4 linked regions of the Astyanax mexicanus genome follow. The protein of the gene in region 2 interacts with the protein of the main gene of each other region in a pairwise test. Links are inferred from orthologs where the notes say so. Each region holds a gene or a part of one and is shown on either strand. Other genes may lie near its edges.

Region 1 (7,518 bases), on a different chromosome or scaffold from region 2:
GAGAGCCAGAAATCTTGTTTGTTTGTAGGTGACCAAATACTTATTTTCCACTATTATTTGCAAATAAATTATTTAAAAATCAGACAATGTGATTTTCTTATAGTTTTTCATTATGTCTCTCATAGTTTATCTATGATGTCAATTACAGGCCTCAGGAGAACTTGAACAATTGGTGACTGACTAATTATTTTCCTCACTGAAGTATGTAAATTTACTGTAAAATACTAATATGGGAGGACAACGGGGAAGAGAGGTAAGAGGGGCCACACAGGGAGAATTGACAGGTATGTATGAAGCCCGTAAAGCGTCAACATTTTATAGAACAACTAATCATTTAAACAGCGACATGTGCAAGAATGTCAAAATAATATGGCACAAGGATTTAAGTTACTCTACTGACGATGCATTGGAGGGAATTCTGTAGGCAGGGACATTAGAGAGGTTTAAGGAAAATGTATTCAGTACAAATATTTGCATAGGTAAAACCAATCCAGACTTTTTAGAATGGGTGTTGTTGATAATGATTTATCTTGGAAATGCCATTTTCTCATATGATATGGGAATGCCCAGTAATATACTTCTTCTGGAGTAGTATCCTCAAAGTAACAGGAGAATGCCTGGGACTACTGTATCAACCTCGCTACTGCCTCCTTGGAGATCGAACAGAAATCCCCAGGGTAAAAAAAAAAAACATGTCTAAAGTTGGACACAGATAATATTGCCTAATTGGAGGAGTAAAAATGTCCCTGAACTGAAATAAAGAACTAAACGGCATCTTATGAGGTCATGGGGAGACTTAATAGAGAGAAGAAAGTGAAAAGCTTATGGACCTGCACTCGACTTGACCTGCGTAGGCTTCGACCTTGTATTATTATATTGGCTATGCTGTTTCTGTGTATGTAAAAGTGTGCTGAGCATTGTGTCTGTACCTGTAATGTATGTTTAGTAAAAACAAAAATCTGAATAACAAAAAACAACTTAACAGTAGCTAACTAAACACACTAACATTTCTGTATTTACTGTGTGTGATTCATTTATATTATGTGAAATATACATACTGGCACCAAGACAATAGAAGAGATCCTTAATGTAGAACCTCCATGAGCATCAATGAGTCTTGGGCACCAATGATAACCCGGTCACTGGTTCACTGTCTCTCCTTCCACCAGTCTGACGCTCTTTCTTACTGGTTGTTCACGTAAAAGCCATTCTGCAGTATTTCTTCATACACTCTGATGAACATGGATGCGAGTTTAATCCTGGGTAGAACGTGCCTGCTGGTGAACTCATCTCTGCTCAGAGAGTCTTTACCGTCCACCGATCGCATGTGATTTATGAAGCTAAGAGCAAAACCATAACAACAGGACCCAAACTCCCTCTCTTCATGGAACCTGTAAAACAAAAACACTGGATTAATATTTTGTATTGACATTTATGACTGATCATAAACAGAGTTATATAGTTATAGTTATAGAGTTATATAGTGTTAATGAAATCAGTCTTGGATCTGATCAAACCAGGGAAGTGCACAATGAAAGAGAACTACAGTGATTAATATTAGCATTAACGATCATTATTAGTTAATGCATTAACTACTTTAAATATTTCTATTACCACAATTAACGATTATATTAGTTAACCTGAAAACATTAGGCCTATGTGGCTGTATAATGACTATCCTTAATTTGTAAGCATTCTGAAAAGAGGAGGATGGGTCTGTGAGCCTTGGTTCCTCCCAGTGTTTCTTTCTCTTCAGCACTGTAAAGATTTCTTTAATGTTACTTTGCACCAATATAAGTTGTAAAAAGTGCTATATAAATAAATCTTTATTGATTTGATTTGACTAGATGTTGGTATGCTGCTGTATACTGGGCATATCAGTGTTCCAGGGTACTGATGTAGGATGATTAGTTCCACGACTCTAACTCGTCCCAGCAGCACTGGATGACACTTCATCATTTCAGAGAACACAGTTCTTCCACTGCTCCACAGCTCAATGTTAGAGGGCTTTACATTTTTCTAACCCATGTTTGGCATTGGGCGTGAACACTCCAGAGCATGCTGTTCTATTGACCAGTGTTCTTCTTTTGAGATTATATAACAGGTAACTAGTAAATTTACTAATTTGGACAAGTTGTTTTACGAAATGCAATTAAAGGATAGTTCATATTAATGTTATTAATTGTTAGTTTAGAATTGTGTACCTCTCTGCAGCCCAGGTTGGAAGTGATGAAAACAGCTGTAATTCCTTATCCCAGGAATCTACAAGAGAATCTCTCCAAGGTGGAATCAGCTGTATGCAGACACACTGTTCCCATCCCTGCTCGTCTATCTGGACCCCTGATAATGTGTAGTTATAGACCAAGCCTTGAGACAACACAAAGGTAAAAATCTTAATGCTCGTCATCTACATAACATAGCCTATACAAATACACAAGTTGGTTAACCAGCTATTGGTCAGAGTATTTTGCATTAGATTTTAGTCATGCTGGTCAATCTAGGTCATTGGTTGGTTGATATGCTTGTAATTACTTGTCATACTGGTCAACCAGCACAGTCATGCTAGCCACACTGGTCGACCAGCTTTGTCATTATGGTCAACCAATGGGGTGTTGCTGGTCATGCTGTTTGACCATCTTTGTCTTTTTGGTCGACTAGCTTGGTTTGGCTGGTCATACCGGTATTCAAAAAAATAATAGCATTTGGCTGTTTTTAGGCTGGGGTTTAAAGGGTTCATTATACATTCTCACCCAAAACTGACAGACTATCACCTTAAATGTAACTCACCTGCTGAGTTTGAGATGCCGACGTGTAGCTCTGAATCATTCCACTCTCTGTAAGAGTAAAGAACAGTGTAAAACCTTTATTAAACTCAGTTAATCTCAGTCTGACTCAATTCGACTCAGTTAGACTTAATTAGACTCAATTAGACTTAATTAATCTCAGTTAAATTCAGTTAGACTCAATTAGACTCAGTTATCTCAGTTAAATTTAGTTAGACTCGGATAGACTTAGTTAGACTCAGTTAAACTCAGATGATTCAGTTAGACTCGGATAGACTCAGTTAGACTCAGATAGACTCAGTTAGACTCAGATAGACTCAGTTAGATTCAGTTAAACTCGGATAGACTCAGTTAGACTCAGATAGACTCAGTTAGATTCAGTTAAACTCGGATAGACTCAGTTAGACTCGAATAGACTCAGTTAGATTCAGTTAAACTCGGATGATTCAGTTAGACTCGGATAGATTAAGTTAGACTCACCCCAGAGACCGCGGCCCCTCTCTCGCTCCTATCAGAAACGCGCACGGGGCTCTGTGGCCGCTGCTGAACGGACCGGGCAGCGCGACAGGCGCGTCCAGCAGTCCCAGTACCGGCGGCTGCTGACAGACTGGGCACAGACCAGTTCCAGTACCGGCCTGTGGATCTGCGAAGGTGTAGATATCTCTCCCGCAGTGGCGGAACTTCACCACGGCCCGCTCCATTACAGCTTCACCACATCCCGTTTAATCTAACCCACCTGCTCGCTGCTCTCCTGCGCTACGATTGGCTGCATTCGGCTGGAGTTCTGGTCAGTCTGAACTACTGGCCAATCAGACATCAGCGGGGGCGGGGTTCATATTTTACGACGGGAAGAAAGACGCGTTTATTTGCCTTTAATATGATGATCCATCTCTTTATGATAATATAAGATTTATTATTTATCTCTTCTAAAAAACAACACGTTCCCGCAATAAAAAACATCTAGATTGTGAATAATGTACATATTATAAACTAGTTTTATTTTATCAAATATGTTAACTGTGTAGATTTTATGTATAGGTTTCTGACACTTGATTTATATTTTACGTACAATGTATTGAAAGGTAAAACGTAATTTGCTCAACCTGTAAGATATGTAAATTAAATCGGTAAACAATAGGCCATATTTTATATATTTTTATGTCATCTATTATCTACCTCTGTTATAAAAACCATAGAACTTCTAATCTCATTATTTTGTGTAAACTGTTGAAAATAAATCAACAATATCTTAATTATTTGTCAAATGTGTTATTGTGATATACTGAGTGATAATCTATTTAATTTGTCAAAAAAGATGACAACACGATATACAGCTCAATATATACAGACAATGATAACGTATGTAGTGATTCCATGTTACATTATTTTATGAATATATTTCTTGCTACAAATCAACCGGTTATATTGTAAAGTATGTTTCTGTATGGTGTTTCAAAATCGCCCCCTTTTGACTTTGGGCACCTGCCCCTCCAAATGTCGAAGTGTTGAACCAAAATATGTTTTATGCTTTAGATTCTTTAAAGTAGCAACTTTTTGCTTAGATCTCAATTTTGCCCACTTGTTATTATTCTCTCAGTCGGCTGTAAGTGCTAGAACCTGGAAAGGTTCTCCAGCTGCCTGTAAGGAGCTGTAGAGGTGCTGTGCTGTTCAGGGTAAATCTCTGCACTGGGCGGAACTAATAAACCCGGGTCGCTGGTGTTCGGGGAAAGAGTTGGAGCTGCGCGTGCAGGAGAGGCGGGGGACCGGGCCGGGGTTATTAACTGCGTGGATTTCGGGGAATATGTCTACAAAGCAGGTGACCTGCAGGTAACTCACCTGGACGGGGGGTTCGGGAGCGCGAGGCGGAGGAGGGCAGGTGGGCCGGGCGGGTCTACGGGGGGCGGAGGTGCCGCTGTAGCCTCTCAGTGCGCGGTTAGCAGCTAAGCGGCTAACGGCGGTCTGCGGGTTTACTGATCAGTGCAGCTGTTTCTGTTAACAGCGCTAACTATATTACTACTATATAACTAATATATAACCTATATTACCCGCAGTAAACACAGCGCTACTGACCCTGCTCCCCCATCATTATACTCAGATACTGGGGATCAGCCCGCTGTGTGTGAGAGCCAGGATTACTAGCTGTCTGTCTGTCTGTCTGTCTGGGGTAAATATCTGAGATCTGTGTGTTGGACTCTGACATTTTCCTGAACTGAAACTGTTATACTGCGTTCGAATTATTAATAATTTCTGTATAAATACCTGTTTTTGTGTTTATGTTGTAATATTTATCTCATAATTTTAACACTTAAAGCTTCAGTATCTTTTTTTACCATGTTTTCAGCTTGTTTTAAATCAGTTATATAGAATTGTAAGCACCACAAAATCTGGAATGCTCGGCCTCACATTTTGTAGTCAAAAACTTATTATAATGACCCTCACCCAGCTTACGTATACTTATGTAATGCGAGGCACATGCTTAAAAAAAAACTGAAAGTAAGTACAGTTAATGGCAAAACAAACTGCTTTTAAGAATACCGCGTTGTCACGATTTGGAGTTCGTGTGTATATATTACAAAATCGAACAAAATGCATATATATATATATATATATATATATATATATATATATATATATATATATATATATATATATATATATATATATATTTGACTTGTACTGTCTATTATATATTTCTAGTTAGTATAAATGTTCACATATATCTCATGATTGTAAAATAAAAAATACAAATGGATAAATATTGTAAAAGTTTTTTCTATGTATTTCTGATATTTCCTTTCTTCTTTTCTCAGGTATTTCATTCATGGTGTTTGTCGAGAGGGGAACAGATGCATGTTCTCACATGATCTGGCAAACAGCAAACCCTCAACGATATGTAAATTTTTCCAAAAAGGTGTCTGTGCCTATGGCGAGCGATGCAGGTAATGTTTTTTTTTTTTTTTTAACTTATGTCTTGCATATGCGCTTAATGTATGCTGCCAGTCAAGAATTTGTGTTAAGAAATTATTCTGACTGATATTAATGTACTTTTAAATATAAGCCTAACCTAAAGCCACTAAATATTTGACCAACTAGGACACGTGAGATATTCTGCAATTTCAGTAACTCATTATTCAACTAAAACAAGTAGTTTTTGTATTTGATCATGATTTTAATTTCTGCTGAACAATTTGTTGACTAATTTATTTTAAGTAATTTCAGCAGCTGCAATTTTTTAATCATTGTGTAATTTATATAGTAAATAATATATTTGGTCTTGCTTAAAAAAAAAAGCACAAAGTTACAATTTGAAAGCTTCAAAATTTGAATAAACACTGAACATTTTAGAATCCCAGCAGAGACACCAACAAACCACAGGAAGACTTATTGTTTGGTTATTGTTCTATATAAATTATTTTTAGAATTTCACCTGAATATCAAAAGTGCTTTCGGTTGATTTGGTTGACGATTATCCACCACTTCTATAACTGGATTATCGAGAAGGCTTGACGTGTTGGAGTAGTTACTCTAGTTAGCCGGACTGAATTTCCTGGATCCTTTTAATCAATTACTCAACTACTCTAAAATCATACATTAGCATAATGCATAATTTTGTCTATGTTTCAGATATGACCACATCAAACCGGGGGGGCGGGGAGGAGGGCCGCCTCTGGAGCACACAAACAGACCCAGTAGTGCTGGAGTGTCTGTCCCAGGACCAGGGCCTCCACCCAGTACAGGCAGAAACACTAAGAAACCAGTAGTGTTGAGAGACAGAGGTATGGCTGAAAAGTATTGGAAGTGTGTGTTACATCCTCATAAAGCTACAGAAAACGTTACATAAACTGAGGCAATGTTCTAGCAGTGGAAGGGATGTGTTAAGAAGGGTGACATGATGTAGAAAATCTCATATTGCAGTTTTTACCGTTGCAGCGAGTCGTCACATCATCCTTTTACATCCTTTTATCTTCTGCCTGCAGCTCTGGCCAGTGACACTAGAGGTCAGCCTTACAGTGGAGAAAGTGCAGAGGTTCGGGATTGCTGGGACTACAGAGAAGGTTCCCAGGCCAAACCTCACACCTACCTTGATGCCATTCGTACAGGGCTGGAGAGTTCAGCCACAGCCAGCCCGTACCCGGACGTGCCCCACCAGCCACAGCTCTGCCCGTATGCTGCCGCTGGCCAGTGTCAGTATGGCAGCACGTGCCCGTATCTTCATGGAGACATGTGTGAGATCTGCAGGTTGCAAGTTCTGCATCCGCACGACCAGGAGCAGAGGGCAGCACACGAGAAGGTGGATGAATATACCACATATATTTTCCACATAAATATAAATTTACCAGCGTTAACTAATGAGCTCATTTCATAGTTGTTGTGTAGATTATTACAGACTTGTGACGTAATATTATAGTTTATGGCATCAGTATGCTTCTGCTACCATCTGCCAGGCCATATATATTCATTAAAAAAACAGGGTTCCTCCATTAAGCTGCCGGCGCTCAGAGGGAGCAAAATTAGCCCTGCTCCCTCCGGGTGGGTAGATGGCGCTCTCTCCCCACATCACTCCTAGGGTGACGTCAGTTATCTTTGTTTCGTGTCGTACTCGAGGGATTGGCAACACTACACATTAGTCACCGACCAATCATCGTCCGTGTCCTCGTGTGAGTTCGTAGGCCATCGCGGGGGAAAATATACACATATATACACATATATATATACACATATATACGTGCGTATG
Region 2 (7,462 bases):
ATCAAGTCAGTCAAACTAATATAGTCATGGTCTGGACACTACAGAAAGATCACTTTAATTAACTGTCATCATAGCAGCAAGCTTCTTTAGTCAGCGAGAGGATGACATATTAAGACACAGTAACAGCACTGCAAGACATTCTTCTGCAGCTGAAGTAGACTGTTTTTCTCAATTGCTATGACAGAGAACATTTGTACAAGTTATTTGGTGGATCTTTCACAGCCTTCAAGGGGTGAAAAGCAGCACCATAAAACCATACAATTAAACCATTTATTTATATCATCCAAAAATTGATTATTGTGAGAGGCCTACAAACAAACAGCACATTATTATTTCTTCAGTATATTTGGTGTACATTAGAGTGTTATTTTCTGAGAATATTTTCATTATTCAAAAAAAAAATGCTTAAAATGTGAGGCATCCTAAAAACCTTAACTACAACCATCACATTGTGCTACACATTTGTTCTCCTTGAGAAAAAAACGAAATAAGTAAATCCAGATAACATTTTTCCAAAGGTCTTTTATTCCACATTCCTAGTGAGTGGTGGTGTTTTGAGCCCTGTGTTAATCTGAGTCCCTGAATAAATCAGTTTTATGTCTTTAGTTGATACTTTTAATAATCTGTTTTTAATGACTAATAAAATGTAAAAAAAAAAAATAATAAATAAAAATAATAATAATAATAATAATAATTAAAAAATAATAATAATAATATAAATATTAATAATAATAATCTGTTAATCCTTAATCTGAATTGCTTTATAAATGTGTTACTCACAAGATCAAACAACAAGTACTGCATACCTCAGAGATTGTGCTACGATGTTCTCGCATATCGTCAAACAATGAGTCACTCTGTCCTTTTTGGTCGTGGCTAGATCTTTTTTCCTACAAAGAAGTAACATGTTTTAGCAATTAACAAATAAACAACTGAAAAAACATGGTCAAAATGAGAATTTTTATTTTTATTATATTTCTGACTGTTCCTTAATCTAAAAACAAATAAGAAATAAACTGCACTACAAATGTACAACAAAAGAGTTCAGCTCATTTCTGAGGAATCATTCTGAGGATCATTTGTTCTTTATACTCTTCCAGCAATACAGCCAAGACAGGCTCTTCAGAGGCATGCATAACAAGTTTCTGTGTAAACTACTTTAAAGTTAAAAAGGGTAATTATTTTTATTACTCTAGTCTTTTAAACAGTAAGAACTCTCTGACTACAGATTTAAGGTAGGTAGATGATTGAAAAACTTGGGTGCATAATCCCTCTTGGTAGTAAGAATACAATATATACAAAATATAAAAATACAGGACAAAGGCACATTATACATATATATATATATATATATATATATATATATATATATATATATATACAAATATATATATATATACATATACATATATATATATATATATATATATATATATATATATATATATACACACACACATATACACACAATTCGCAAGAATGTTCAGATTGTACATTTTCCTGACCTAGCACACATGATTTCAGCTCCATTTTACAGATAGAGGTTTTAAAAACCATGCACCATTTTCTTTTCAGTTCACACTTAATTGCTACTTGTGTTTGTCTATCACATAACATCCCAATATAATATAATTACGTTTGTTTGTGTAACGTATAACTACGTTATTTCTTTGTGTAAGTGTTCAGTGTATTACCATATACATAAGAATATACAGACTAATCATTGCACCTTTCCCAGCTTAACAGGAGAAAGATAAAACCTTCTTAACTTTAAATTGAAGTCAAGGTAAAAATAATTTATATTAGGTTATCTTGGGGAATTTCTATTGGTGCATTGAGCAATAAAACTTTGACAAAGTGTGAAAATGTTTATTTGTTCAAATTAACTAAAAATTAAACTGTCAAAAACGGAGATGCTTGATTTTTATTTTTAGCAACGATATACAGCTATGTAGCTATATAAACAAGAATATACAGATGAATACCTGCATCACTTCCAGCTCTAGCACACCTGATATCTGCTTCAGTATATATCTAATAATATATCTAATAGGCAATAATTAAGCTGATGTAAAGGAAAAACATAACACAGCTAACCTAATGCTTTTACTGGGCACAAGACAAGCTAAGACAAGCTAAGAAGCACTGATTTATTAGCCAGTGCATCACTAGCCATTAAGGTGTTTATCAGCTAGCTATTGCAGATAAATGAGTCAGGGTCATTAGATTGTATGCACTGAAAATGCTTTCCTAAAGACAGATAGCCAAATAGCTAACCTACTATTTAATAAAATTAACTAACGTTTCCTAACACTGTATTATTTGGTATAAGCAAATCTTGACCGTTAGCTAGTTAGTAAGGTAGCTAAGCAGGTCAGCTGACGTCTTTGGCTACCAGCTTGACAGCTAGCAACATAGCTTAGCTAAGCTAACTGGCTAAATATGTCAACACATAACGCTAGCTAAGCTAATTAGCTAACCTAGCTAAATGACTGGTTTAGACTGGTGGAGACACGGCTAGCCAGCTAACGCTGTAGCTACGTTATCGTCCCCTCCCCTCAGACTTACTGTTTCTGGACGAGCTCCTCGGCTGACAGCGGGCCCTGCTGCTGCTGGAACGACTTCAGCGATTCGAAGGCCTTCATCAGCTTCTCCATGGTGGCCATGACAGCGGGCCGCGCGGCCGGCGAGCTCCGGGGGAACAGCCGCCAGCCAGCGGGCTAGGTACTAACTAGCTTAGCTTAGCTTAGCCAGCTAATATTTACACCTGTGGGGTTAGCCAGCCTGCTAACCAGCGCGCAGGGCGAGCAACGCTCCGAGAAACAGCCCACGGGAATTCAGCAGCCCGACAGTACCGGGGAAAACCCGCAGCGACCGTGAGCCTCGGCCGTTAAACCCGTTACCGGACTCCGCGCGCGCCGGGACGTCAGCGGGACGCAGAAAGCGCGAGCGGAGCGCAGCTCACAGCGGGTCTGATCCGCACAGCCATCTTTACACCGCAGCAACCCGCGAGCACAATACACACAGCGAACAGAGAAACCTGTCAAAATAAGAGTCCTCCCACCCCCTCAGCAGAAACCCATTCATTCCTGAAAGTCCGTGCTCATTCATGTTTTGGTATACCTTCTATACAACATGGATGGATAGATGGATGGATGGTAGGGGTGGGCGATATGGCTCTAAAATAATATCACAATATTTGCGATAACGATATACTTGGCGATATAGGAAAACAGAAAAATGGATGGATGGATGGATGGATGGATGGTCATTTGAGCACGGAAAAAGATCACTGTATCAGTAGCATTCGGTTCTGTCAGAATAAATAAATAAATATATGAAATATAAAATATACAGTAAATACATAAATAGAATTGAATTGAACAGATAGATAGACAGACACATAAAATACATACATAAATTGATTAGATTTTAATAGAAGTGAATGGATAGGTAGAACGCATAATAAGAACAATAGAGAACAGAAAATATGGTGTGTTGAGCAAAGTATGATTCAATATCAATCCACTGTGAACTGTCTCTATAGCAAATAAAATCTGCATTTTTGGATTTTAGTTCATTAGACAAACCATGTAGAGTACCAATCAAACGTCTAAATGTATTTAAATTAAACTATTTCTTTTTATGATGTTCTACATTGTCAAAATTATTCAAGACATCAAATAAATAAACTTAAGAAACATAGATACGTCTTCATTCACTAACTGTAACAATGTCTCCCTCTGCTGGCCCTAATTGGTTACTACAGACTAGTGCTGCTCCCACAGGAGCCTAAACTGTGTTTGTATGGCTGGTTTAACCTTTTTTTTTACCCTTTTCTCTTCTTTTATAGGTCTGGATTATGGATGTGTCTGTTCTCTGCTCTGGCCTTCCTGTGTGTTGACAGCTGCCTGTTTTCATGACTATGAGTTTTAGACAAGACCTGAAAAACTCATGCAGTACATGCAGTCTGTTAAACTCTGCATTTACTACCCACCCAAACACAGCTTTTCCCTCGGGCTTTCAGGGGCCTTAACAGTTTAACACTAACTAACAGATGTCGCTCCACAGGCCATCAATGCCTTTACACATTGTGATGATTTAAGCAATTGTATATACAGTGTTACCCCTGGACTCCATTCTTATACACAAAGGGCCAGTGTTAATTATTTATTCTAAACTTTAGTTGTGTGGCTTATTGTATTTTATGTGCAGTGCCACTTCCCCTGCTGCTCCTCTCCTAGTTTACTAATTTTCAATCAATCTATCAATAAATCACTAATATTTTTTTCTCAGAGGTACAATGAGAGTGACCCTCATTTTCATTGCAGCCAAACATTTAAAGATATTAAAGACAGGGACTGAAAGAGAAAATAAAAACACAATCTACTCACAACTAATATAAAATTATTAAATTAGCATTTATTTATAAAATAAAAAATAAATTAATATAAATAGGACTAATTAAATCAAAAATCCTGCCTACGAAGACTACAACTTAATATAAAATATATACAAATTAGAACATGTTCAGTTTACATAAGCTAAAGTAAAAAAAAAAGTGCATTTTCCACTTAAAGAAATGAGAATAATTTATTTTAAAGGGTGTGTAATCTATCTTTCACACACCCAGTGCTTCTCATAAGAGCACTGGTAATCATTCCAGGTTCTTAACGGATTTATCCCAGTCGTTTGTATGGAAGCACAGTTTTGGTTTCCATTAAAGTTGTTGGGCTGATCTTCCATCCAGTACCTGAAACAGCACAGGAGTAGGGTTCATGTTTAATTACTGATTTCACCCAAAATCACATAAAACACAACATCTCTTAGTGATTCTCAGTCCTACTCAAATCTGGCATCCAGAGGGCAGCAGTGTAACCCTCTACAACATCATTGCCAGCCCATCACTGCTCCATTGCTACCTGTTACTTTTATTTTACCCAAAGAAACATGTAGCTGTATTGGGGGGGAAAAAAAAAACAACAATGTATGCATATTGATTATGTACATTTTGAAGCAGTGTTTACCTTACAAAACTTTTTTTTCATTTAAATACATAAAAGCAAAAAAAAAGAGTATTCCAAATGATTTGAGTATTCCATGATGTGGGCCTTTATAAGAGCTGTTTTTATGATTTAAATCTTGTTGAACTGAGTGAAACAACAAAAACGTTTCTGGATTCATTTCACTCAGTGCATGTTTAACCATCCAAAAAGTAGAAAAGTATTCCTAGAAACCTATATATAATTAAACTGTTGGATTATTAAACACGGTTTACGTATAATAGTTCACTTCTCCTTTGAAACACAAATGCAATCATATCATGTTTGTTATAATAAGGATTAACATGACCCTAAGTGTGTGCATTTGATAGGATGTTGCGATTACATTAAATTAGTAATTTTCCATTTACATGCACAGTAATTAAAAAAATATATATTCTGAAATTAATTTTAGATGTTTAAATGCAATATTATTAAACTATAAATCTGGCCAATTTGATCTGCAACATAACAGGAGGTTTTAGACATGACTAAAATATTGAAAATGCTTTTTTTCTGTTTGGCCAGCGCAAATTATGTTGAAACCCTTAAAATCTCAGTGTCACTGGGTAGAGCTTTGTTGTTAATGGTAAATTATAAATACACTCCTCTCCAAAAGTATTGGAAAATTTAGGTCAATCCCATTTCAGCCTTTATTTCCAGGTATTTGTATCTGAAAATCTAGGTCAGGAACCATTACATTAACAGCCAATAGGAGTAAAAGTTCAATAATATTTATTTTTCTTCATTTAAGTAATAAAAGTAATAAAAAGTCTCTCACCCCAGAGTTTGTGTCGTGTTGTCTACCCATTTCCAAACTCCCTCTGTTTCTTCATCAGTTAGACCAATCCACATATCCTCTCTGGAAAATCCTGATACAAAAATCTGTTTACATGTAGTAAAATACATTACTAGCATGTGCCCCTTATTATCTATCTATCTATCTATCTATCTATCTATCTATCTATCTATCTATCTATCTATCTATCTATCTATCTATCTATCTATCTATCTATCTACACCCAGTATTTTCTACACTAAAATCATACAGTAAATAACTCTTTAACAATGTTCTTCTGTAAAACTGTAGAACGCAATGCATCTTGGGATGTCCTATGAAAACAGCTGTCATCTGTATATATAACTGTAACATTTGTGGGAAAAACAGGTGTTTATATTTAAAACATTTTACGGACATTTACTGCTTTGTTGTGAGACCAGAAACAGCCTACAAACATCCCTAATTTGCATATTGGGCGTGTCTTCCCACGCCTAACTTACCATTAGTGTGGATTCTTGCCTGCCAGGGCTATTTCCTGTTGGGTACTGAGTTATATTTTATATAATGGTTGCTTTCCTGGACACAGGGGTGTAGGTCTTAAGAGCAAGTAACATTTACTTTACTGCCAAGCATGATTTCACATGCTTTACAGTATTATGTCAATAATCATTTTGCAGCACTTTACTGGAACTAAAGACCCCAAACATTGAAAGTACAATCTTTCTCTCTCTGTCTCTCACCTGTTCCTCCTTTGTGTTTATGATCACCAGGTCAGCACCTATCGTCCTGCAGTGCTGTCTGCTCTTAGCCCAGGTCTTTTTCTCAGTAGAGGTGTAGTAAATGCTGGAGTTAAAATACCTCCAACCTTGAGGAAGAGCAGTGGTTAAATTATTATTATGCATTTAGTTTATTTATAGATATATTTAGTGTAACAACTGTCCGAACAAACAGTCATCAGAAGAAAAAGCTTGAATTATTACCTTTAAATAAAGAAACATAATAAACTAAGCTTACCTAAATGATTGAACTTCTGTGCTATCCTCTGGTTCTCGCTCTGTAAAAGACGCTGGGCCGTGGTCAGACTGGTGTAACTGGTCTGTAACAGGTCTTTCTCTATAGTAAGGTTATTGATAGTGTTTTGTAAATGTTCTTTATCAAACATGTGCTTCAGACACAGTGTGGTGATGGTAGCAGCTTGGAGAACACACAGTAGCCCCAAACATCCTGCAGAGATTCTCATGCACTTGTTCAGAGTTGACTCAGCTTCTAAAGAAATATCCGCCCACACACACACACACACACACACACACACACACACATTTTCATTCATAACACCCTTATTATGCAGAACTCAGATATGTAGACAAATTTTGTAATGGAATGTTTTCTTTCATGCTTTAAATAACCGTTTTCTCCTCTAATCAAAAACATTTACCAAGTTTTATATACAGTATATTATGCTACACTACATGCTTGTTATATCAGTACAATCCCATTTACTGTATTTCATCCAAAGTTTAATAGCATGTTGCGAATTCTGGAATAAGTACATACTTTATTAGTAATACTTTATTATTAAAGCCCCTATTGTACTGTAGGTCCCCTTTAAATAAAGGTTTACCATGTACAAGAATCCTAA
Region 3 (6,866 bases), on a different chromosome or scaffold from region 2:
AATCAAAATGTGGTAAAACAACCATTGCCTGTGTTTCTTTTAATTTTGTGGTGCTTTGTAAAATTATTGTTATTGTTCTTAATATGATTATTGTATTTTATTTGTTTCTACTCCTGTACCTACTGGAAACCGCGGGCCGAGGCCGCCGTTTCTCTTTGTATACCAATGTGAAGCTTTGTATTATTTCTTTCTGGTTTTTTGACTCAGTGGAAGTGTGTGATGTTTACATGTACAGAGGATCCGATTCTTTTGTCGTTTTTTATTTCGTCGTTGTTTTTTTCTTTCTCTTTTTTTTTTTGTGTTCGTTTAAGAACTCACCCCTCCGCTCAGCCCCCACAGCCTTTGTTTTAGGACTTGAGTTGCTTCTTGAATCTAGTGCATGGAGGGGCTATGTTAGAAGGTTATAGAGACTTGGTTAAACTACTGTTTAAGGTCCTTGCACAATTTACAAAAAAAAGAAAAACAAAACAAACAAAAAAAAAAACGAGTATCTGTGACGGTTGTTGCTCCACAGTGGTTCGTGTTAGTATCCCAGGGCATATCTGTTAATGAGAACACTCTCATTGAGCATTTCTTGACAGTTGTTTATACTTTTCTTCTGTTTCTTATTCACGTTCTCACCGGGACTCCAAGTCTTGAAATCGATTCATTGTAGTGCTACTGTAACGGAAGCCTGTTTTCCTTTACAGGTTCGCTTTACCTCTCTCGTAAACACTGTTAGATTTTTTTATTTATCTTTTTTTAATTGTTTGCACCTCAGAAGTGCATTACTTCCTCAGCGTTAGGTCTGGAGTGAATTGGGGCTGGGGTCCATGTGCAAGGGCCTTTAGAGGCAGGGTGCAGTAGTCACTGCTGGTGGGTAAAAGAAAATAAAAGTGCTGGATGATGAAGAAAAAAAAAAAACGGCGAGAGAGCAACAGAGAGCTTCTTATCAGCTCAAAGTGCAACACCAATCCTCCTCCCTTAAATACGACACGGAGCAAACGGAGGGCCTGCTTGTTAACGGCTTTCAAATGATGTTTTCTGACCTTTCGCAAAGACTTGAAATGTTGTTTTGTAAATAAGGCCAATGAAACGGCCTCCTCTCAGCGGCCCACGCGACTAAAGATTTTCCAATGTGGTTATGGTCTCTAATGTTCGATTTTGCACTTTGACCTTTTGTAGAAGCTTCTCAGTGATTTTAAAAAGCCATTCCCCTCATGTTGTTCGTCTATATGGGGAACATAGGAACCTCAGGAACCGTTGAATCTGAGTTTTGTTTTGTTTTTTTTGTTCTGTTGTTTTTAACTACAGGCCAATATGTCCTGACCGACCAGTCCTCGCTCTCTCTCTCTCTCTCTACTACCACGTCATTTATATCGGATTTGCTATATATCCTTTTTTTATATTTATTATTGTGATTTAAAAGTGAATCTTCTTTTCAGTACACGTGGCTGAATATTTGAATTCTTTAGAAAGTGTTGATAAATATAAATATATATATGAATATATGTGAAGCGACTAAAAGATGGAAAAAATGGCAGGTAATTCCATTTCTGTTTGTTTCATGCAAAAAAAAAAGAAGACAAAAAAAAAAAACGCGGGGAGGGAGGAGGGGGAGTTTCCCACCTTGAACATATCACTCTGATAAGAGACTCATTATCGTCTGAGAAAAAAAAAGACTCTTTTTACATTTTCAGTGTGGTGTCAACGCTACGGTCTGAAAAACTGTCTGGTTTTCCACCTGCTGCAGAGTTGCTAGGCTCTTTCCTCCAGAGGTGTGTGTGTCACGGAGTTGCTGAATAAAAACAGTGAGCTGAAAAATCTCATTCTGTGGTGGGTTTCTGTCTTTTGAACACACACACACATACATGCATCATTTGAGTTGTACAAATACATAATAAATACAGAAAATATTAGAAAGACATCCATATTCATCATTTGTGTTGGACACTGATGGAGTCTGGTCTCTGCCACTGAGCACACACATACACACTAGTGAGCACAAGTGCCTGGAGCAGTGGGTCATCATCCCTGGGGGTCTTAGGCTTAAGGGCCCAACTGTGACTGCTTGTCAAACCTGGTTACTGAGCCCAAAACCCTGTCATCAATAACCTGGTGCTCTAACCACTGATGCAACACTGCCTGCTTCACCTTCACCATGTTTCTTACAGCTTGTACAGGTAGCTAGTCCATTGAAGCCCATACACACGGTGGCCACTTTATTAGAAACACTACATCCACTCTGCTAGTGTACAGTTAAAGCTTTACATGAACACATGCACATTTATTCTGTAAATAAAAATGTTAAATAAAACCAGAATATGTTTAATACTATAGATTTTTAAGCACCACATTTAGCTTTGAGGACAGATCTGTACACTCTTGGTAAACTGCCTGTCCAAAAAAAAATATCGCCATAAAAAAAAAGCTCACACACCCTAATATTTCTTGAACCGCCTTTAGCTTTGATTACAGCATGCACACTGTGGCTTTCTTTTGATAAGCTTCTGCAATGTCACTAGATTTATTTCAATCCAGTGTTGTTATTAATTACGTACATAAATGAATAGCCCACCTTCGCTTTCCTACAGCTTTTTACAGCAAATTCAGTAATTTTGTGCTTTTTGCCAAGCACTCTTTACGACGGACGCTTTGGGGCATATTTTTCCCTGATAAATCGCTTTTTTACACCATTATCAAGGCTCAAAGTAGCTACACACGCCTCATTGGTAGATTCTGGAGAGCTCTGACATTTAAAACAAGGTATTATTAACTTTAAAAATGCACAAGAAGTTTATTAAAAGCCACTGTTTACATCCCATATCACTTCTTGAAGCTCTGGGCACCGCCATCATTGTACTGATAATGACAGACATATATACATAGACTCCGCATAGCCTGCCTCTTGGTGTAGCAGCCGGCGCCCAGTGCATTTACTTACACTGAGAAAGGTGTTTAATACACCTATAATAACCACAACTCCTCCTATATATATATATATATATATATATATATATATATATATATATAATATATATATGTAATTAAATGCACTGGGCGCTGGCTGCTACACCAGGAGGCAGGCTATGCAGAGTCTATGTATATACATGTCTGTCATTATCAGTACAGTGATAGTGGCACACAAAGCTGAAAGTTAGCATTATGGGATGTAAACAGTGGTTTTTAATAAGCTTCTTTTGAACTTTTTAAGTTATTAATGCCTCTTTTTAAATGTCAGGGCTCTCTGGATTCTACCTAAAAGTTGAGGAGCTACTTTGAGCCTGGATAAAGATGTAAAAAGCAATTTATCAAGGCAAAATATACCCTGATACGGTCGTTGTAAAGAGTGCTGGGCTATTCAACAAAGGTAAGGTCTTTTTATCATGTTTTTACTAGACCAAAAGTCCATTTTACACCTGAGTTCTCTTTTTTACGGTCTGGACTCTGTGGTGAACAATCCATGTGTGAAGATGATGATCTCATTCTACCTGAACCACTCTTTCACAATTCTGCCTGTTTAGATTGACAGCCTTTCTTTTAAGTTTGTTAAAAGTATATATATATATATATATATATATATATATATATCAATGTTTTGTAGATGTTTTTTATAAATGTAGGCATTTCAATGATTTACCTACATAATTCATTTTCTTGAAAGTTATGAAAACCTCAAACCACAACAATTCTGGTAATGATCCAATAGCAACTGTTTTATGGAAAGTTTTTTTTTTTCTTTTTTAAGCTCCTCCCATAAATACACCTGCCCAACCTGAGACATCCGCCCCAACACTCACACACACCTTACTCACTCACTCACACACACTCTGAGGAGATGTAGACACACACTTCTCAGTCTCTTCACCTCCACCCAGATGAAGGGTCCTGAGGGGGAGGCTCGCTGCCCCTGCCCGAGTCTCCAGAGCCTCCAGACTCTGCTCTCCAGCCTCTTCACACAGGCAGAGAAGAAGAAGGAGGAGGAGGAGGAGGAGGGAGAGGCAGCAGAGCAGAGAGATGGAGACTCCAACTTCGAGAACCCAGAGATCGGCACCTACAACTACACCCAGCCGCCGACACAGCCGCCCACAGCCCAGCCAGCGGACCCGCCAGCTGCCCGGGCTCTGTATAAGGCGCTGTGGAGTTTCCAGGGCCGCGCCGTGGACGAGCTCTCCTTCCAGACTGGAGACTCGTTTAGGATGCTGCAGCAGGAGGGAGAGTGGTGTCGGGTGGAGAAGATCAGCCCGCAGGGACTCATACAGGCTGAGGGCTTCGTGCCCTCCAACTACCTGGCAAAAGAGCAGACCCTGGAGGAACAACCGTGAGTGTTTTCACATACAGTCCCTCCTAAAGTACAGGAACTGCAAAAAAAAAAATCCTTTATTTTTGTTGTGCACTGAACACACTTAGAAAAAAAGTACAGATTTGTACTTAAAAGAGTACAAAACTGGGGCTGTACCTTTATTGAATTATATTTAAGTATTTTTTGTACCCATGTTTTTTGTAAGAGAGATTATAAACATCATCAATATGTATTGTTTTTAGTATAGAGATACTGAACACAGGATGTACATTTTGGCTGGTAAAATGGTACAAATCTGTACTTCCTGCTGTTAAACACTAAGAAAAGTAAGTACAGATTTGTACTTAAAGAGTATATAGCTTGTCTCTTGGGCTGTACCTTATATTGAGGTATAATAGAGTAGTTTTCAGTAAAATTATTTTTTTTATACCCATGTTTTTTTGTACCAGTAAAGATTATAAACATCATCATCACCTGAATATGTGTCAAGAACTTGATGATCCAAAATTGTCTGGATTTCAAATGAAACATGTATAATCACAATATATGTTGTTTATTAGTACAGTGATACGGAATGCAGAATGTACATTTTGACTGGTTAAATGGTACAAATCTGTATTACCTGCTGTAAGGAAATACTTTGTACTTCTGAAGGAACACATCAGACACTGTAAAGATTGGAATATTATTATACAGAATATTATACCTTTGAGGGTACAATTACGAAAAGTGTACATTAAGTACAGAAAAGTACTTGTATCGTACCTCTGTTTAGATGGGTTTTGTTGGGTTGTGATGTCATTCCTATATCTAATGTTTGAGGTAAATGAAGCACAGCATGAGGCTCTTCTGACTTGTGAGAAATGTGGCTTGTAGGGGCATTCCAGTTAAAATGTCCTATTTGGAACTCAGAAATCCTAACATCCAGGTTCAGATGGGACACAGAATAATACTTACAATATCTAAGATCTGTTCAGGTCCCTAGTGTGATCCAGAAGGATTTAACATCTGCACTCCCTTTTAACTACGGTAATTCACTAGTCAAAGAAAATTAAATTACCTGGTGAGGAAGAATGTCATCTCCTGTTTTTTTTCAGATGGTATTTTGGGTCACTGAATCGCCTGGAGACCCAGAAACTGCTTTTGGCCGCAGGTAACAAGGTCGGTGCATTTCTGCTGCGACGCAGTGAAAGGGATGAGGTGGGCTGTGTGCTGTCAGGTAAGTGAATTGTTCAGAAGTACAGTGCAGTACATTGTGACTTGTCTATGTGAAGTGAAAGAAGGTCATTGTATATTTCTCATTTAGAGGTGTTATAAAATTACAATCCCCCCTTTTCCAGTTCCCAGTCTAAAATTGTGTAAATACAATCTCTATCTTGTTCCCATGACAGGTAGGGATCCACTAAAATTAAAATTTTCTGAAACAGAATTTTTCTTTTTTTCAGAATTTATTTTTCCACTTTTTTCACCATTGCGTAGTTAAATAGGGTGTAAAAAATATGTGTAAGGTGTAAAAATAAAAATATTATATTGACTAATAAAAAAAAAGGACAGTTTGATCACTAATCACTAGTGTTTGAACACTAATAAATGTTGACTCCTTTTCTCCTTTCTCTTTCCAAACCACCATATTGCGGATGGCATAGTTTAAACTAGCAAACTGGTATAATACAAAATAGACTCCCTCTGCACTAGGGCTGTATACAATATGTAGAACAGTACAGGGCTTAAAATTCAATATATTGTGATTAATTGTGACACTGTAGGTGATGTATCGTGATTATTTTAATATAAAAAAAAATAACTGTGAGTTCCACACTGCTATCTAGTGGGCAGGGTTTAATTACAACACTAAATGAACGACTGTCTGACACCAATGTTTACATGTAAATAATTGTAAAAAATATATAGATACTGGGGATACACCGATGTGGGAATTCTAAGCCTTTATATATCTGTTGACGTTGATGCCGATATGCATATTTATAACAGAGAAGAAGCTAGATACCCTGGTAACTTTGAAACTAATAAAAATAAACAAAAATGAGCTTAAATCAATATATTTTAAAGTAACATGGCCAGTTGTAGTAGCACAGAAAGCATTGTTTGGTCCTTTTCCAGCATACAATAAATACATCAGCAAATATCAGTTTGAAATGTTGGCCATATCATCCGATTCCAATGGTTAAAAAAAAAGAAAAAGGGAATTATCGATCCATACTGATGTAATTCCCATATTATTATGCATCTCTAATCGATACTGTGTTTTTTTTAATGCAAATTCAGGATAATAGGATCTCTCATGTATAATAATCTAATCTAATATCCCACTTTCTCTCTCTCTCTCTCTCTCTCTCTCTCTCTCTCTCTGTCTGTTAGTTCGACTAAGCGATAAGGAGGTGAAGCACTTTAAAGTTTATGAGGATGAGGAGGGTTTCTATGTGGACCCTGATTCCACTTTCCCCGGACTGGAGCAGTTAGTGGAGCATTATAAAAGCCATCCTCTGAGCTCCGGCACCCTCCTCGGAGAGCCCTGCACACGGGTGAGTGTGTACTGTATGTGAGCTACGTGAGTTATGACCTC
Region 4 (7,340 bases), on a different chromosome or scaffold from region 2:
TTTTATTCAGGTGAAGAATTTCGGTCGATCCGGACGCACTAAATACACACACCTGGTGGATCAGGACACGACGTCGTTCGACTCGGCCTGGGCTCAGGAGAGCGCTCAGAACAGCAAGTTCTTCAAACAGAGAGCCGGAGGAGTGCGGGACGTGTTCGAGCGTCCCACCGTGCAGAAGAGGAAGACCTGAAGTCTCTCTGATCATCTTTAAACCAGTTATCTCAGATTAATCTGCAGAACTGTTTTTACTCCTCTCTCCCCCTAAATCCCCCTGGTTTATTTGTTTGTGCTGAACTGCAGTTCCAGTGGGAAGAAAATGGAGGTTTATTATTTTAGTTTTGTACATTTGATTCATTTTCTTTATAGAACTTTTTTCTTCTGAGCAGAAATGTGTAAAAATCGTACAGCATCGCTATTCTTAATAAACTACTGTGACAAATTCATATTTCCATCTTATCCTAACTCTTTAACAACACAAACTTCATTTAAAAAAGGAACTGCTTAAATAAACAGCTGAAATATTTTATTACAGTTTATTAAAATCACAATACAGAGGGGAAGGGGGGGGGGGGGATGTGATTGTGTGTGTGTGTGTGTGTGTGTGTGTGTGTGTGTGTGTGTGTGTGTGTGTGTGTGATGTTCAGTTGGTCAGGGTGATCAGCGCCTCCACCACGTTCCCCATGTGTTCTCTCAGACTTCGCTCCGCCACACCTCGCGAGATCTCCATCTCCCCCATCTGTAACACAGATCATCAGAACCTTTAATACACAGAGGTTTATATAAACTTATAAAAACAATTAAAATTCATAAAATATAAATGAAATTAACCACGCTCAACACTGGTTCAAACTCCCAGCACTGACTGTAATAGATCACAGTAAATCACTGAAAATAATCAGAACATGTGAACAGAACTCTGTCGGGTCGGGCTGAAGAGAACGGTCTGTTATAAAAATGTATAATGCTGTTTATTATTTATATAAAGCTACAGTGTGATGATCAGAATACAGCACAGTAACAGAGCACACTGTGATGGTGAAAATCAGCAGAAGTTAGACTGTTATAATCACAGTTACATTATAAACTACACCTCGCCGCTCTGTGGACGCGGGGTAATGGAATTATTTGGGGGCAGAAATCGGGCATTTTGGGCTCCTGATGGCGGTTTATTGGTCGGTTAGGGTTAGTCGAGTAGAGTCTGGAGTTTTTGGATCTAAACTCCAATGTGGACCACTCTCAGTCTGAGATACACAGGACGTCACTCAGAATACATGCTGGAGATACAGGTAAATAAACGAGTAATAATATAATAATAATAATAATAATAGTAGTGTGATTAAACTGAACTGAAAGCTGTTGAACAGAAACGTTTTTCGGTCTGGATTTAAACATTTCAAGTGTCTGAACTGCAAAACAAAAACACTTCAGAACAAGATCTTTATAGATAAGAATAAGAGTTTGACTGGGAGCAGTTTGTGTGATTTACTCTAATTGATTATTTATTCTGGTAAAATCAGACTCTAATTCTTTTTCACTCGTTCTTAAAACAAACCAGAGTCTGATTTAACCTGATTAAAAGCTGCTGGAGTAAAAACTTCATACTTACTATCAGCTCCACATCCTCCTTCTTAATCGTCACTTTAGCCAATTCTTTTTCTCTGCAGGAAACAGAAGCAAACAATTCAGTTTATTTATTAAACTATATTTAAAATATTAATAAACAAAGTGATAATAATAATAAATGTACTGAGTTCTCACCGTTCCTGTTTCGCCTTCTGTTCTCTGGATCTCCTGTCTCCGATCACGGACATCGCCTTCAGAGAAAACAGAACCATTAAAAAACAATTAACTACTCACTAATTAACCTCATTAATTACTCACTAATTAACCCAATTAACCTAATTAACTATTGACTAATTACCCCCAATCAACCCCATTAACTACTCACTAATTAACACAATTACCAACGCTAGCTCATTAACTAATAAATAACCCAGGTAATAAATAGGTAATTTACACTCCTAATTTAACCATGTAAATTAATATAAAGGATAATCCCGGGCTGGATTACCGGTTCGGGACCGGGTGTTTTGCTGATTTCTGCTCCCCTGTGAAATCCTGCTGCTCTATAGTAGATTATTTAAATATAAAATACAGAAATAAGCAGAATATAAGGAAAAGCTGCTGCAGGAGATTCTGTAGGATATTTATTAATCCTGAATCAGTAGATCAGGGTTCAGTTTAAGGTAATAGAGGTGATTACAGCTCGTTTCTGTATTTTTATTGTCTTATTATTACTTTTCTAATTTACTGCCAATTACACACAGACTATACAGTAATAATACTTTTTATATTTAGAGGGCTTCATGTGTTTAATGCGCCTAAATAAAACAGAATTGCCATAAAAATCCATGAAAACATAATACAATGTGGATCCGCGCATGCGCACTGGTGCATGGAACCCCATATGGATTGGTATCAGAACTGGGCGGAACACCGGGGGTTAATGTGAGTAACTGAGTGAACCTGTATTCTCAGAAACTGAGAAACAGCAGCGGATTAATCCGGATTATTCCTCCCTCAGATTAATCTACAGTAATTCTGATTATTATATTAATAAACCCGCGCGCTCGGGCAGCACGTGGACCGGGACCGGGCCGGACTCACCGTCTCCAGGTCCGAGCTGGAAATCTCCTTCTCCTCCGCATAGTCCGTCACCCGCTCCAGATCCGCCGCGCCGCTGTCGTGTTTGCGGGGTTTCTCTGTGGGCTTCCCGGTGCAGTTCTCCTCCGCCTCCAGATCCAGATCCACATCTCCCTCCGCCGCCATGTTTCCTCCTACTGCCGCCCGGAACCACAGCAGCGCTCCCTTATTACCACCCGGAAACAGATCAGTGTAACACCGAGGCCTCGTCCCAAACCTACAAACGCTCAGTCAACACCACCCGGGAACAGATCAGTGTAACACCGAGGCCTCATCCCAAATAAGGTTATCACATTTCAGAAATGAAAACAAAGGCCGCCGCAGCAGTGCTGTTTTACATACCTGTCAAGTCTCCCGTTTTGGCCGGGAAACTACCGTATTTTACTCCTCTTTCCCGCCGTCCTCCCGTATTAGTATTTTCCCGTAAATTTCCCGTATTATACTAAATAAAAAAATATATAGGCCACAGGCGACAATGCACTGACCGCTGTGTGTCTCTTAACCAATCGAGTGCCGGTTCAAGGAGAAAGTCCCGCCTTTCTGGAGAAACAGCCAATCCGCTTGCTGGTTTTGCGGAGAGCTGTTTAGTGTGGAGGAAGCCCCGCCCCTCCCCTCGCTGTGAGTTCAGGCAGCTAGTCGGAGCAGCTGTCGTTAAAGCTAATCTGGATATACGGAGATTTTTCTAAAAGAAAGGTAATTAACCATGTAAACTGTGATGAGATTGTTTCTGATAGCTGGTTAAAAAGACTCTTCTCTGAATCAAAACATAAATTAAACCCACTGTGTGTTTAATAAAATCCAGCTTGTGACTCAGTTAGCTTAACTTTAGAATTAGCTAGATAGACATTCAGGGTTTGAGAAAAATCTACATATATATAGGGACACGGTAAAACGCGGAACATATGGGATCTTGCCTAAACGACTAGCATTTTCAGCAACTGGCGACTGCCTATTTGAGTGCTCGGAAAAAGACTCACCATTTAACTGGAATATTATTTCTTTTTTCAGAATGGACGCCGCTGATATCCACAGTGAAAAGTGGAACTGTGTAAACTCCTGAGCTGAAAGCTCATCTCATGAAGCTCAATTGTCTTTTTCTGCGTTTTTTTCTTATCGCTGATTAGTTGCATACTGCCACCTATCGTTCAATTACTGAGGAGGGAGCCATCCAGCCTGTTTTTTCGGGTTACAAAATAGTCTAGGACCAGTTTCCCAAATGTTTCGTAGCACTAAGACAAGTCTGAGATGGTTGAGCGAGCTTCACACTGAGCTCTCTCTCCATGTTTAAATGTTCTTAATGCTAAGAGGGAAACAGGACCCAGACCTTTACCATGAAATATACTATTTCTACTCTGGAATATGTTGTTGTTTGTTATTGTTATTTTTTTGCAAACTGTTATTAATAAAAATCAAACGTAATTATGTCTGATCATCATTACATTTTTCTACATTTCACCCAAACTAATTGGAATTAAACATACACCCAAGCATTATGTCTACATAAATAAAGACTGATACAAATCCTGCTTTTGTTATTATTTTTTCCTTTTAGGTGTGTTGTTGTATTCATTCTTTTTTCTCTCTCAAAATTGGCATAATTTAGGTCTTTTTTATGTATATTTAGTTTTTTTAATGATAAATTGGTAGGTCATTTAGCTGCAGGGTATTTTTGTGATAATGATATTCTTGGTGACAATAAATTAAATATTTTAAAGAATTTAAATAAATAAACTTTTGAAACACAATAAATACTATAGTTTTATATAGTATAACAGTTTAAAACATTTAGTAGAAACGAAAAAAATGTAAACCTTTGTAGATTTTAATAATTTCAGTAAATTACAGAGTTCTGACTTATATACTATGGATAGAAATTAGTGCTGATCAGCGAGAGCAGGCAGGCGCAGTTGGGGGGTGATGCAATTATATTATGTCAAAACGATTCAACTTTTTTCTTTTTTCAAACCTACCTGGCCTGCTCAATATTTAAATTGTAGTATTTATTATTATAGATATAGATTAATGTAGGTATTTCCCTTTGTCTAACAATAACAACAACAATAATAATAATACAGTATTGGTGATAAAACAAGCTTTTTAAAACAAAGCAACAGTTTGAGAGAATTTAGGGAGAAATAGAAAGTAAGTAAAAAAATATGATATACAAAAGGAATTCTAGTGATTACAGAGACTAAATTACACACAGCTGGACTCTATTAACTAATTAAGTGACTTCTGAGGACAATTGATTGCACTGGATTTTATTTAGGGGGTTCAGAGTAAAGGGGGATGAATATTTTTGAAGGTCACATTTAGATTTTTATTTGATTGAAAATTTGAAAACCATGTATCATTTTCTTTCAACTTCACAATTATGTGCTACTTTGTGTTGGTTTGTCACTTAAAATCTCAATCAAATATATTTAAGTTTGTGGTTGCGAAGTGACAAAAGGGGGTATGAATAATTTTGCAAACCACTCTGTCTCCACGTTATGTCACTAATAGCACCTTAGGATTAAGAACATCTTAACAGAGAGAGAGTGCCCAGTGTGAAGCTTGCTGAACCATCTATGAATTGTCTTAGTGTTCAGAACCTCTTGGGAAACCCAGCCTTGCTCCCTTGGATTTTTTTCTTCACTGCTATAATGACATCATAGGTAGCATATACTGCGCACCACTGTGAAAGTGTAAAACTCTTTCTTGGTTGCTGGAAGTGATCCATTTTAGTCATTGTTTTGTAAATCGTAGAGTGAATGTACAGCTATTGTATTGTTGAGGGTGATGTTTTAGTAATTTTTGGGAGAAGTCGTACATTTCCTGAAAAGGTGCAGGAGTGTCAATGTTTATTCAAAATTGACTATAGGGTTTTGATGCAACATATTTTTCCACAACACAAATGAATAGTTATCCAATAACACCATGTAATCCTTGCAGAATACATTCCATGTTTCAATAATGTAAGTATCAAATTATATTAATGTATCATTTTGGAGTAAATGGGTACCAAACTAAACAAAAAGTCTATTCGGTTTTATAGGACTGCAAAATCTGTTTTATGGAAACTGAATAGACTTTTTTTTATTTGGTATCCCATTACTTCAAAATGATACAGTAATATCACTTACAACATATACCTTGAATACATAAGAATTTGTACTTCATTTGATTTCCCAGTGGATCTATGCAGTTAGAGGTATCCCATGCCACAGTTAGTATGCACTTGCACAGTATATTAACATAGTCTATAAACATATGTACAAATGTACAGTTTGCCAAAAATAGAATAATACATTTCGAAAACCCCTTTTCAAATACAAAATAAACCAATTACTTTAGAGCATGGTTACAAAGCCTTCCGTATAACTATTAATGGCAAAGTAATTAGGGTGCAATTACGAATATAAAAGATGTTAAACCACAATATACAATTAAAACACCCAACAATGTTTAAATTTTTATGGAGCTTTTAGCTAATATGATGGCATTTAAAATGGTCCGACTTTACATGTTCTAAGTCTTTTTCATTTACTGAATATGAATGGAAATCCACATATTTTATGTTTTGTTTACCTTCATCAGAGAGAAAATGTTAAACTTGACTACCCTCTGATTTCAGCACCCAAAGGTCTGAGGGGCTCTCCTTTATTCTGATAGCATGTCTTGGGCACTAGTCCTGAAATGTATTTTACTCAACATAAGGGGCTTACTAGGGGAAGTAGGATTTTGACAGTGCGACACTGCCAAAAAATGACACTGCCAAACTCCCCCACAGACCCCTACAATGAGTCTAGAGTAAAATACATTCAGGACTCAGCCTAGAGCCCAAAACATGCTATCAGAATAAAGCAGAGACCATTTAGGAAATGTAGTGGAGTTAAAGTAAAAGTTCTCCCAGTACTTCAGTAAAGATACACCAAAATAAAGCTTGGTCAAGTTGCTCAAGCTGGTATTATATAAATCAGGGGAACTTTATTCATATGAGATTAGGGATGGAACCCTTCTGAGTTGAAGTTCCACAGAAGACCAGCGAGCATTATAAACCCCATATATGCAAAAAAAAAAAAAAAAGAAGAAAAAAAAAGAAGAAAAAACTTGACCAAAGTATACAGATCCAGACACTAGAAACATAAAATAGAGGAAGATGATCCAGCACATAACTGGAGTTATGGCCCATTCCCTTCCCCTTTACTATACTCTCTCACTCAGTCACCTTAAACAACATGACAATCACCTAACAGCTAGGTTGCTGTTTATGATCCGAGTTCATCCTGCCTTTGTTTGAGTAACGGTCTCTACTGTCTAGAGAAGACTCTACATTTGTGGAGGATTGCTTTGAGGATCTAATTTTATTCAGTTACAAAAGCGTAAGTAACGTCAGGACGTTGGATGTTCATGCCCCACCTCATTCCCACCTCATCCCCAAATCAACCTAGAAGTGTTGTATGCAGCAATACCATTCCAGAGAATACAGTTCTACTCCACAGCTCAATGGAATAAAGGGTCCACAAATGTTTGCACACCGTTGTTTTGTGTACAACAAATACTGCAATTTAGCATACTATTATTATTATTATTATTATTATTATTATTATTATTATTATTATTATTATTATTATTATATTAATAATAATAATAAC

Evidence for each region.
Region 1: the proteins of htt (region 2) and mkrn2 interact in binary tests that used the Homo sapiens proteins (3 or more experiments, as listed by UniProt). The link is inferred for Astyanax mexicanus from reciprocal best matches to the Homo sapiens genes HTT and MKRN2.
Region 3: the proteins of htt (region 2) and ptk6a interact in binary tests that used the Homo sapiens proteins (3 or more experiments, as listed by UniProt). The link is inferred for Astyanax mexicanus from reciprocal best matches to the Homo sapiens genes HTT and PTK6.
Region 4: the proteins of htt (region 2) and hypk interact in binary tests that used the Homo sapiens proteins (3 or more experiments, as listed by UniProt). The link is inferred for Astyanax mexicanus from reciprocal best matches to the Homo sapiens genes HTT and HYPK.

Annotation. Positions count from the first base shown.
Region 1 is NC_064431.1:12,838,524-12,846,041, reverse strand, and holds the start of mkrn2 (E3 ubiquitin-protein ligase makorin-2), read left to right. Parts: upstream 1-4,502; 5' UTR 4,503-4,584; coding exon 4,585-4,610; intron 4,611-5,593; coding exon 5,594-5,722; intron 5,723-6,407; coding exon 6,408-6,559; intron 6,560-6,760; coding exon 6,761-7,074; intron 7,075-7,518. Other genes in the region: mkrn2os.1 (MKRN2 opposite strand, tandem duplicate 1), read right to left, coding at 1,184-1,391, 2,205-2,367, 2,788-2,834, 3,264-3,484. UniProt on the Homo sapiens protein: E3 ubiquitin ligase catalyzing the covalent attachment of ubiquitin moieties onto substrate proteins.
Region 2 is NC_064414.1:46,260,991-46,268,452, reverse strand, and holds the start of htt (huntingtin), read right to left. Parts: upstream 3,017-7,462; 5' UTR 2,667-3,016; coding exon 2,569-2,666; intron 891-2,568; coding exon 807-890; intron 1-806. Other genes in the region: C-type lectin domain family 4 member E, read right to left, coding at 4,615-4,753, 5,824-5,927, 6,564-6,688, 6,838-7,089.
Region 3 is NC_064419.1:39,952,833-39,959,698, reverse strand, and holds the start of ptk6a (protein-tyrosine kinase 6), read left to right. Parts: upstream 1-3,840; 5' UTR 3,841-3,857; coding exon 3,858-4,300; intron 4,301-5,379; coding exon 5,380-5,501; intron 5,502-6,661; coding exon 6,662-6,825; intron 6,826-6,866. UniProt on the Homo sapiens protein: Non-receptor tyrosine-protein kinase implicated in the regulation of a variety of signaling pathways that control the differentiation and maintenance of normal epithelia, as well as tumor growth.
Region 4 is NC_064430.1:121,694-129,033, reverse strand, and holds hypk (huntingtin-interacting protein K), read right to left. Parts: upstream 2,903-7,340; 5' UTR 2,830-2,902; coding exon 2,668-2,829; intron 1,815-2,667; coding exon 1,759-1,814; intron 1,659-1,758; coding exon 1,607-1,658; intron 737-1,606; coding exon 641-736; 3' UTR 507-640; downstream 1-506. Other genes in the region: mfap1 (microfibrillar-associated protein 1), read left to right, coding at 11-190. UniProt on the Homo sapiens protein: Component of several N-terminal acetyltransferase complexes. Inhibits the N-terminal acetylation activity of the N-terminal acetyltransferase NAA10-NAA15 complex (also called the NatA complex).